2 linked regions of the Ovis aries genome follow. The protein of the gene in region 1 purifies or fractionates together with the protein of each later gene. This does not show direct contact. Links are inferred from orthologs where the notes say so. Each region holds a gene or a part of one and is shown on either strand. Other genes may lie near its edges.

The links. The genes of interacting proteins can lie anywhere in the genome.
Region 2: the proteins of CAMLG (region 1) and TNFRSF13B purify together in Homo sapiens (affinity purification with western blotting; 3 studies listed by BioGRID and IntAct, with this or other methods). This does not show direct contact. The link is inferred for Ovis aries from reciprocal best matches to the Homo sapiens genes CAMLG and TNFRSF13B.

Annotation. Positions count from the first base shown.
Region 1 is NC_056058.1:43,870,137-43,875,834, forward strand, and holds the start of CAMLG (guided entry of tail-anchored proteins factor CAMLG), read left to right. Parts: upstream 1-2,355; 5' UTR 2,356-2,470; coding exon 2,471-2,642; intron 2,643-4,140; coding exon 4,141-4,598; intron 4,599-5,698. UniProt on the Homo sapiens protein: Required for the post-translational delivery of tail-anchored (TA) proteins to the endoplasmic reticulum.
Region 2 is NC_056064.1:34,854,556-34,859,597, forward strand, and holds part of TNFRSF13B (tumor necrosis factor receptor superfamily member 13B), read left to right. Parts: intron 1-2,185; coding exon 2,186-2,431; intron 2,432-5,042. UniProt on the Homo sapiens protein: Receptor for TNFSF13/APRIL and TNFSF13B/TALL1/BAFF/BLYS that binds both ligands with similar high affinity. Mediates calcineurin-dependent activation of NF-AT, as well as activation of NF-kappa-B and AP-1.

The DNA.
Region 1 (5,698 bases):
GATATGCAAGGAAACCTTTTCTAATGCTTTAAAATTACTAACTAGGGCATGTCCCTGGAGATTCAGCTATCATCCAAACAAAGAGGAAATGTTCAATTTCAGTGTTTATACTTGAGCTCCTTTTTTGTTGAATCCAAAAAGATTGCCATTTGTTTTTACACTTTTTTTCAAAATCCTTTTCTGACTGGGAAAGGGTCAAGTGACTAAACAGTTTAAAAGAGTATTTTATTACCTTCTATCTAGTCAGGATTTCACAGGCTTCCTGACTTGAAGCAAGCTCATGTAGCAGGCTTCATTGCAGGGGACACACTGGGCTGCTTCACCCTCTGCAGCCTCAGATATGATCTGACCATGGCATCTCTCAAGAGCTGACAAGGAATCAGTTCACTCATTTACTCATTCACTTAGTCATTATTGCCCACCAGGGCTGCATTACAACTTTTGTGGGCTGTAGCAGTACTTTGCTTTTGTGGGGTCCTTCCTCTATAAAAGCACACTTAAAATTATACTTGATGACTGTGTCAATATGATAATGACTGTGTCAGTATGATAATGCCTGCCATCCAGGCTGGATTCATCATTATATATAAATTATAACTGCATTTTCCTTCTCATTTAAATTCAAACTAAACAAACTCATTTAGAAACAAACAAAACAAACTTATGGTTACCAAAGAGGAAAAGGCAGGGGAGGGATAAATCGGAAGTAATGGAGTTAATAGATGCACACTTTCATATATAAAATTGATAAACAGCCAAGACTTACTGTCTAGCACAGGGAACTGTATTTGGTATCTTATAACAAACTATAATGGGAAGAATAATTTTAAAAAGAATATAGGGAAGTATATATGTATATGTGTGTACATACCAAATAAGCCTAAATAGTTTTTTATCTTTATAAAACTCATTGAAAATGCCAAGTTTTGACACTTCCTCTAAAACAAAAATTTGTGCAATTATTCAGGTAAACTTAATCTAGTGCTCTCAATGCTAGGCATGGGGTAGAGTGGTTTTTTTTTTAATGGTAAGGAAAAGCAAAAAATAACACACAAAAATTGTTTTAAATGGAGATGGACTTGCCCTTGTAAAGTTCTGATACCAGGGGAAATTTTTCTTGAGATGTCCCAGAGCCCTTTTGCCTTGCCATGCCCAGTTGCTTCAGTTGTGTCTGACTCTTTGTGACCCCATGGACTGTAGCCTGCCAAGCTCCTCTGTCCATAAAATTTTCCAGGCAACTGGAGAGGGTTGCCATTTCCTACTCCAGAGGATCTTCCCCACCCAGGGAGCAAACCTACTTGTCTCCTGTACTGGAATGCAGATTCTTTTCCACCGCACCACCTGGGAAGCCCATCATACATATGGTGGCTCAGATGGTAACGAATCTGCCGCAACGCGGGAGACCCAGGTTCAGTCCCTGGGTAGGGAGGATCCCCTGGAGAAGGACATGGCTACCCACTCTAGCATTCTTGCCGGGAGAATAGCATGGACAGAGATGCCTGGCAGGCCACACAGAGTTGGAAAGAACTGAAGGACTAACACCTTCACATATATACACCAATTACTTTGCTGTACACTGGAAACTAACACAATCTTATAAATCAACTTTGCTTCAATAAAAAATTCAAATTAAAACATTTTCTTGGGCCCCTATTGTATGCTGTCAACATGGTGTAATGGATAAGGCACCCTTGTTGAGGGCCTACACTGTTCTAAGAGTTGCAGCCCTAGATTTACGAACACAGTGATTGTCTTCATGGAGCTTATATCTTACGAAGTGGGAAGCAGATAATAAAAGTACATTCAGCTTGAGAGTCAGTTATAACTGTTAAGGACAAAGGGCAGATAAGGAGAACAGAGAGTGTTGAGTCGGGGCGACAATATAGAGTGGACAGGGAAGGCTTCACTGGGAAAGTCTTTATCAAAACAGGCATGCATTTGGTAGAAGCACTGCTGAAGATGAGGAATCAGCACCAAGAACAAATCCCAGCCGCAACGCTCCATAAAGCGTCGCTCTCGAAGTTACGTATTCCTGACGCCTCTAAGCGAGCCCGAAGAAGGTCACTGGAAACCAGTGCCTGCCACTCCAAGCTCCATTTTGCTTCCTGGCATCAGGTAGGCGGAGTCTATTCCTTGCTCACATGTTTCTAATGGGTCAAACCGGATGCCGGGTTTCTTCACCTCCGAGTGAACGGCAACGGCGCCCGATGGCGGGGGAGGAGCATTAAGGACCAGCCCAGGTGGGAGGAATTAGAGCGGCCAAGGATGCCCTTACTCAAGATGGCGGCGCAGAGCTCGCGCTTGGTCCCGACAGGCGGCGCGCCCGTTTACGCTGCATGTGCGGCCCTGCGCTCTGGGGGGCGGGTCCACAGCGGTAGGGGCACGCGCGGCCTGCGGCCCAGTCTGAAGTCTGGGGCGCCGCGGCTGCCGCTCACGTCATCGCCACCACTCCTGGACAGTGGAGGGGAAGATGGAGCCGGCCGCCGTCGCTACCGACAGCGGGGACCGGCCGGGGGCCCCGGCTGGTTCAGGCCTGTCGGCTTCCCAGCGTCGGGCGGAGCTGCGGCGGAGAAAGCTGCTCATGAACTCGGAACAGCGCATCAACCGAATCATGGGCTTTCACAGGCCTGGGAGCAGCGCGGGTGAGAACCTCCGTTCCCCATAGTTTCCTGCCCATCCCTTTTGAGTCTCGGGGATCATTCTTCCTTGCCCTCCTCCACCCCTTGACTTTTCTGACTAAGCCCTGCTCTCTGACCTCTCCTCCGGCCCCGCCCCTTTGATGAGGTCCCAGGTTCTCACTTCTTCACCGCAGGACGTTTCTTGTATCTCTCCTTAGTTTTCCGCCGCAAACTGCAATGCTCTCGATCCTGAGACCCTCTGCCGTGGTATACTCTCTGCGCACTGACCCTGAGGCGGCCCCAACCCTGCCCTCGTCACCCCCTCGCCTCTCTTGAAGGCCGCACATTTTATTCCCAGACTGCTCTACCTACCGTGCCCGTCAGGAAGATTGCCTGTCTTTCTTTCCCTTGTCAATGCTTTCCCTTCCAGTGCCTTCCTTACCGTCTGCCTTCTTTTTGCTCTGTCGGCCCTCATGAGCTTGTCTTTACTGAACTGCCCCTGTAGTCTGTCCAACGTGAACCACGGCCCCATATCCAGGTGTCTGTGCGGTGCCCTCGACACTCATCTGCAGGCCTTCTTAAACAGGCGAAAAAAATTGGAGCGACCATTCTTTAGAGACCCAACAAGGGAAACGTGCCCATGTGAGGCCTTATCTCGTAATGTGCAGAGATTGATATGAATGATGTCAGGAACTGCCTTCAGCACTGAAAGGAGTTCCTCATTTCTCCCCCAATGACATGTACAATGGGTTTCTTAAAAAAAATTGGTTTTTCCCCTGTATTTACTGTACACTCTTACATTTCTATTTAGTGTTGCCTCTAATATTTGGCCTTCAGTCACTGGCTGCAAGTTCCTTAGATCCTTGTGACTTTTGCTCTGTGGGGCTTTAGATATATAACTCAGAATTTTTAGACAGTTCACAGATTTGCCACTGAAAACTGCCAAGAGAGGTAAGAGCCCTATTTCAAATTCTAGAACAATTGTTAGGAGACACATTTTCTCCTTTAATGGTTAATAGCAGAATATTCTTTCTTAAAGCATTTTCTTTTTTCTTTTACTTTGAGATTTTTATTTTGTCTGTCATTAAAGGTTCCCCGCCCTTTGTTTTGTTTTAAACTAGAACAGCATCCTAAAAGTGCTGAAGTACCTTCTAATGTCTCCTAGATTACAGTAGAAGGGTTATGCAAACCGGTAGCAGGAGGATATGCCACACCCTATGCTGATCGGACTCTGGATTCAGAAATGTAATATTAAAAATAGTTGTTTTAGAATATCTCCGTTCCTCTTTCCCAACTTGTCTATTAGCTTTGTCTTCTGTCCCCAAAATTTGGGTTATATCCTCTGAAAGAATACTGTCTTTGACATTTTTTGTGTGTAGAGGAAGGAATTTGTTTCTTTATGAAGGATCAGTATTAATTCAGAGACTGCCAAATTTTAGCTCTAGTGGCATATTTTTAAATATTAATAAGAAAGATGTTGGCCAGTATGTAATACTTAAGGCTTCTAAATTTCTTTTCTCAGAAGAAGAAAGTCAAACAAAATCAAAACAGCAGGACAGTGATAAACTGAACTCCCTCACCATTCCTTCGGTTTCAAAGCGAGTAGTGCTGGGTGATTCAGTCAGTACAGGACCGGCTGACCACAGTGGAGTGGCCGAGGTAAAGGGAACTCAGCTGGGAGACAAACTGGACTCTTTCATTAGCCCTTCTGAGTGCAGTAATGATATAAGCCTTGAGCTCCGGCAGCGGAACAGAGGGGACCTGACAGCCGACTCTGTCCAGAGGGGTTCTCACCACGGCCTGGAACAGTACCTCTCCAGATTTGAAGAAGCAATGAAGCTAAGGAAACAGCTGATTAGTGAAAAGCCCAGTCAAGAAGATGGAAATACAACAGAAGAATTTGACTCTTTTCGAATATTTAGATTGGTGGGCTGTGCTCTTCTTGCCTTTGGAGTTAGAGCTTTTGTCTGCAAATATTTGGTAAGAAACAGTGGGAAATGAAAATTGGTTATAGTAATGAGTGCTTTTAATCCATAAGATTCATTTCTAATATTAATGTAATATTTGTGATCCATGTGACTGTTTGGAGATGTGTTATAAACTTCTGTTTGCCTTAGGTACAGAGTGAAGTGTTCCAGTTAAATACAGAGCCTGATGATAATGCTAAAATCTTTTTATATGCTAAGTACCATTTTAAGTGCTTTACATATATTAATTCATTTAACCTCATCCTTATGAGCCAGGTAGCATTTGAATCTGTTTTGTAGATTGAAGGGAATGAAGACTCAGGTGAAATCATTTGTACAGGGTCACATTACTAAGTGACAACTGGGATTAAACCCAGGCAGTTTCATTCCAAAACCAAAGGGTAAATTACCTACATATCCTATATATTAATTACCGCTTTTCAGATAACTTGAAATACTAAAATGCAGTTTTGGTCCTGAACGTGATGTAATGTTTTTAGAGTTCAGAGGCATTTAGCATTTTATAATGTTGTACTGTTACCATAATAGCAGTCCATCATGTACCCTTAGATGCCAGTGGCTGTTCAGTGAAGGGGAAGGGTGTGTTTTACTGTTTTACAATATGTGAAGAAAAGAAAAGCACAACTCGTAGATCAGTGTCTTGCTCTTTGAGGTGTTTCCATTCAGTAGACATTTTAAGAATACCTACCAAGTACCAGGCACATAAGTAAATTTTCAGATAATTAAGGTTAATGTTATTAAGCAAAAAAGTTTTTAAAAGTCTCTCTTTATGCCATTTTTTTCTTAAAGAGAATTCTGTTGAACAGATTTTATTTTTTTCTGATGACAAATTTTCATTGTAGCTTTCAGTATTTAGTGAGATGTATAGCAGCTTTTTATCTTTTTTATGGAAAGGCCTCTGCACTTCCATGTTTTTTAAATTATGTCCTATTTTTGCGCCTCATTTCGTTTGAGGTTTTTTGGGTTTCTGGACTTTTTTCTTGCTGTCGGATTTTCAGCTGTTAATCATTGCTCCTACTATTCTTCCATTTTGTAATGCTTACTCCTTTACTCCCTTCATGATATTTTAGTTTTAGAAATAAATGTAACTGA
Region 2 (5,042 bases), on another chromosome or scaffold:
TCCCTCCTGCCTGACCTTTAGGTCTCAGCACCAAGTCAGAGCTCCTCTCTGACTGCCAGATGGAGAGTGGGCCCTCCTTCTCCGTTCTCTGCTTGCACTTCTTTCTGAGTCTTTTTACTATAGAAGTTATCAAACTGAGAGAGAACAGCATAACAAACCCGTCTACCCATCAGCAGCTTTAGGAATACTGCTTTTTCGGTTCCCAATCATTGTTTTAACTTGTGTATTTTAAAGTAAATCCAAGAACTCGTATTGTTTTACCTGTGCATAGTGGATCATGAATCCTTAATACATAGGCCTTCAAAATACAAACTCAACATTTTATCACTCTCAGCAGTAATTCTTTAACATCGTCTACACTCACGCCATATTCTGATTGTCTTGACAAGTGTATTTTGCTTGCCTGATGGAACTCATCATGACTTGTATCATGTTCTTTCCTGTGGGTTTGTTTTATGTGTGTCTCAACCACTAGACTGTGGGCTCAATTCCTTTCTTAAGCCTAGCACAGTGCCTGACACACAGTGCTTCATATAAATACTGGTGGAGTGGAGCTCAGACAGGCTAAGTGACTTGCCCAAGAGCACACAGCATAACAGTGGAAGAGATAGGATTTGAAAAATGACTTTCTGACACCAACACCATGACTCTGAGCCACTATCCTTTAGCGAGGTGGTCATTCATTATGTTGACCGACAAACCCTGGAAAGAGGAATGGAAATGACTACATTTCATGGTTAAAAGATGAACCATAAAGCACCATGGCTGGGAGAGACCCACTGGCTGATGGGCTGAGGAGCATGGAGGTTTTCTTGTAGGAGGCACCACCTGAGATTGATCACTGAAGGCTGAGGATGTGGAGGCCAGGTGAGGGGGAAGGGCGCCCCCTGAGAAGGGACCAGTGTGGACAAAGGCCCAAGACCCAGAAAATATAGCAGAAACACTCAGGCCCTGTGGGGAGTCTGCGAGGTCTGGCAGTGAGGGTGGTGGCCTGCGGAGCTGTCACCTACACAGGCACATGGGGGACCCGAGGAGGGCAGGAGGTCGTGGCAACCCTGGGACAAGGCCGCCATTAGGCTACCTCCCCCTGTGCTGGGGTTGGGGGCCCAGGGCCAGGGCAGGGCAAGGGGAGGTCCCAGATCTATGCCTCCCTGGTCTTGTCCTCTACTTTGAAAAGGACATAAGGGCTGGCATGTCTGCATTGCAAAGAGGCGTGGTGAATATCCTACTTAAACCTTGAGCGTTATTCACTATGTGTCAGGCACTGTGTTGGGGGCTTCAAATCCTCATAGCAACTGGAAGAAATCACCATATTATATTGTGATTATCCCTCTCCTGGGAAACAGGAGACTGAGTCACAGAGAGGCCCAGCTGCCACGTGAAGTGGGGATGAGGGTGCCCCAAACCTGAGTAGCTTCAAGGTCTGGCTTCTGGGCCTCTGTCGTGTGCTGCCTCCAAAATGCCTGCAAACCTGCCTGCAGGTCACGGTTCCATAGGAACAGAATCCTCCTTAGAGACAAAGGGGACCCGCCCTGCAGAAAGGCAGGTCTGTAATGCACTCAGAACTGCTCTCTGAGCAAGTATGAATGGCCTTCGTTTTGCTTCACTTCTGCCCCTGGTAGTGATACTTGTTTGAGCTCCTGTGACTCTCATTTATTATTAGGACAGGAAGAACACTGTCGTTCAAGCTTTCCCACCTCCTGTCCAGGCCCCTCCCCAACTCACCAAGGGGTATGCTGGCTTCCTTCTCCATTCCTTGTATTTATAAGAGATATGCTTCTCCTTTATGAGATTTGAAAATGAGATTCGAAATAAAGAACTCCTGTGATAACGTAATAACTTAGATATCAATGGTAAAATATAACTAGAAAATCTTTATATGGTTAGTACTAGGAAATGCACTTTTAATATGTAGAGCAAAGAACAAATACTAATGAAAAACAAGAACATTTTAAACTAGATATAGAAAAAAATACTACACATCAAAACACATGCAGTGCAGCTTAACAGCACACAGTGGACAAGATACCATCTAGTGTTTGCATCATGGAAAAGGACTGGGACTACTCTGGAATTGCTTTTGGGGAACTGGACTAGGATTTTTTTTCACTGGGATGCCCTTTGAGGTCAAACCTGCAGGTCCTGTGTGTGTCCGTCAGTAACATCATTGATCTCTGTCTCCCAGAGTCACTCAGTTGCCGCGAAGAGCAAGGCAGGTACTATGACCTGCTCCTGAGGGACTGCATCAGCTGTGCCTCCATCTGCGGACGTCACCCCAAGCAGTGCACACACTACTGTGAGAAGACGCTGAGGAGCCAAGTGAGCCTCCTACCAGAGTTCAGGAGACAGCGGGCCGGAGAGGCCCCGACCCGAGCAGACACCCTGGGGAAGCACCAGGTGCCAGAGCACAGAGGCTTGGATGCGGGTCCAGGTAAGCCACCTGCTGTGTGTGGCCTGCACTTGGCTCAAGGTCCAAGTGGGTGGAAGGCAGGCACCAGGCCTCAATAAGGAGGGGCTGTGAAGCAGCAAGTCCAGTGCATGCAGATAACCAGGAGCCAGGCTGCGGGCTGGGCGTCACAGGAAGAGAAACTAGGCAAAGTTTACAGAAGTCTGTGGGCAAGAGGAAAGCAGCAGAAGAAAAGAGACCAGACAGTCAGGAGTCTCCTGACAGCCTCCGAATGAGCTCTCAGAACACAGGGCCACAAGTGACCGGCACAGCCAATCTGTGAGCAAGACCCCCAGGCCCATTCAGAGAGACGGAGACTCATCAGGGCCTACAGGCCATGTCTGCTCCACACAGTGTCCCTCCGGAGGTCTGGGACTTACACGTGTCCCACTGTGTCCCGAAGCGTGTGTGTGCAGGTGAGGCCAGAGCTGGGCTTGGCAAGGACTGTAAACAGAAGGTGCTGAGTCCAGACCCCGGGTCCTGAGGGTGGGGGTGGGGCGTGGAGGATGGTCACACAGCGGAGCTGACCTCTCTCCATTCCCTCCTGCCCCCCGACTCACTCCGCACCCTGCCAACCCCCACCTGGGCCCACTCCACCTCTCTGGGAAAGGCCATTCCTTTGTTTGATGGGAACAGTACAAGCTTAGCTGGGCTGGGGCTCCAGGCATCCACACCTGTGGCCACTTCCCTCCTGTCTCTGTCTTCACGGGGCTTCTCTGTGGGTCTGTCTTCCTCTTTCTAAGGACACTTGTCATTGAATTCAGGGCCACCCTCATCCAAGGTGGCCTCACCTCCAGATCCTTACATTTTTTTTTTAAAAGTTTTGTTTTGGCTACATCGGGTCTCAGTTGTGGCACACAGGATCTTTCCTGCCTCCTGCAGGGTCTTTCAGGGCTCAGTAGCTGCAGCTCTCAGGCTTAATAGCTCTGTGGGATGTGGGATCTTAGTTCCTCAAACAGGGACTGAACCCCCACCCCCTGCATTGTAAGCTGGATTCTCTTTTCCCCAACTCTACTTATTTATTTTCGGCTGCACTAGGCCTCTGCCCCTGCCAGCAGGTTTTCTCTCGTGGCGAGTTGCGGGGTGCTCTCTAGTTGTGGGGCACGGGCTTCAGTAGTTGTGGCCCATGGGCTTAGTTGCTCCATGGCATGTGAGAACTTCCCAGCCCAGGGATCGAACCCCTGTCCCCTGCACTGCAAAGCAGATTCTTAACCACTGGACCAGCAGGGAAGTTCCCCAGACCCTTAACTTGGTCACATCCACAAAGGCTCCTCTCTCACAAATCAGGTCACATGTGTGTGTAGGGTGCCTGCCCAGGGGGCTCCTTGGGGGCACATTGGCATATAGCCTGGTGGTCGGTCTTGTCCCTGGCTTTTTGCTTATCTTGGGGCATGGAGTGTTTTCTCTTCCCATCCCTGCCACTGCCACATGCGACGTCACCACTGTGAGGGCTGCCCCCAGGCCTGAAGCCAGGGAAGAGGTGCAGACAGCCTTGTGCACCTACCTCACTCCTCCCCAGCTGGCCCACTTGCTGGGCCAGGGCTGCAGGGATGCTGGCCAAATGTTCCACTGGGTCCGGCGGCAGCCAATAGCATGGAGGTGGAGTATCTGCCCCATTCCCCCAGAAGGCAGACCTGACCATGAGCACCAGTGGCCGTGGGTCCAGGCTCAAATCCTGTCCTCCCTCGGCCACACCAGCCAAGCCAAAGCCACTAGGGCCCTCAGGATGGTCACAGCACTGCCAGTCTAGCCGGCTGGAGTTCCAGCCCAGCAGCAGCAGTTTCCAGGCGAGACTGGTTCTGAGAACAGTGTAAAGGGTTGAACAAATCAAATGGAAAGTTCAGTTCAGTTCAGTTGCTCAGTCGTGTTCGACTCTTAGCAATCCCATGGACTGCAGCATGCCAGGCTTCCCTGTCCATCACAGACTCCCAGAACCTACTGAAACTCATGTCCACTGCATCGGTGATGCCATCCAACCACCTCATCGTCTGTTGTCCCCTTCTCCTCCCGCCTTCAATCTTTCCCAGCATCAGGGTCTTTACCAATGAGTTAGCCCTTTGCATCAGGTGGCCAAAGTATTGGAGTTTCAGCTTCAGCATCAGTCCTTCCAATGATATCCAGGACTGATTTCCTTTAGGACTGACTGGTTGGATCTCCTTGCAGTCCAAGGGACTCTCAAGAGTCTTCTCCAATATCACAATTCAAAAGCATCAATTCTGCGTTCAGCTTTCTTTATAGTCCAACTCTCACATCCATACATGACTACTGGAAAACCATAGCTTTGACTAGATGGACCTTTTTTGGTAAAGTAATGTCTCTGCTTTTTAATATGCTGTCTAGGTTGGTCACAGCTTTTCTTCCAAGGAGCAAGCATCTTTTAATTTCATGGCTGCAGTCACCATCTGCAGGGATTTTAGAGCCCCAAAAATAAAGTCTCTGTTTCCACTGTTTCCCCATCTATTTGCCATGAAGTGATGGGACCAGATGCCTTGATCTTAGTTTCCTGAATGTTGAGTTTTAAGCCAGCTTTTTCACTCTCCTCTTTCACTTTCATCAAGAGGTTCTTTAGTTCTTCTTTGCTTTCTGCCATAAGGGT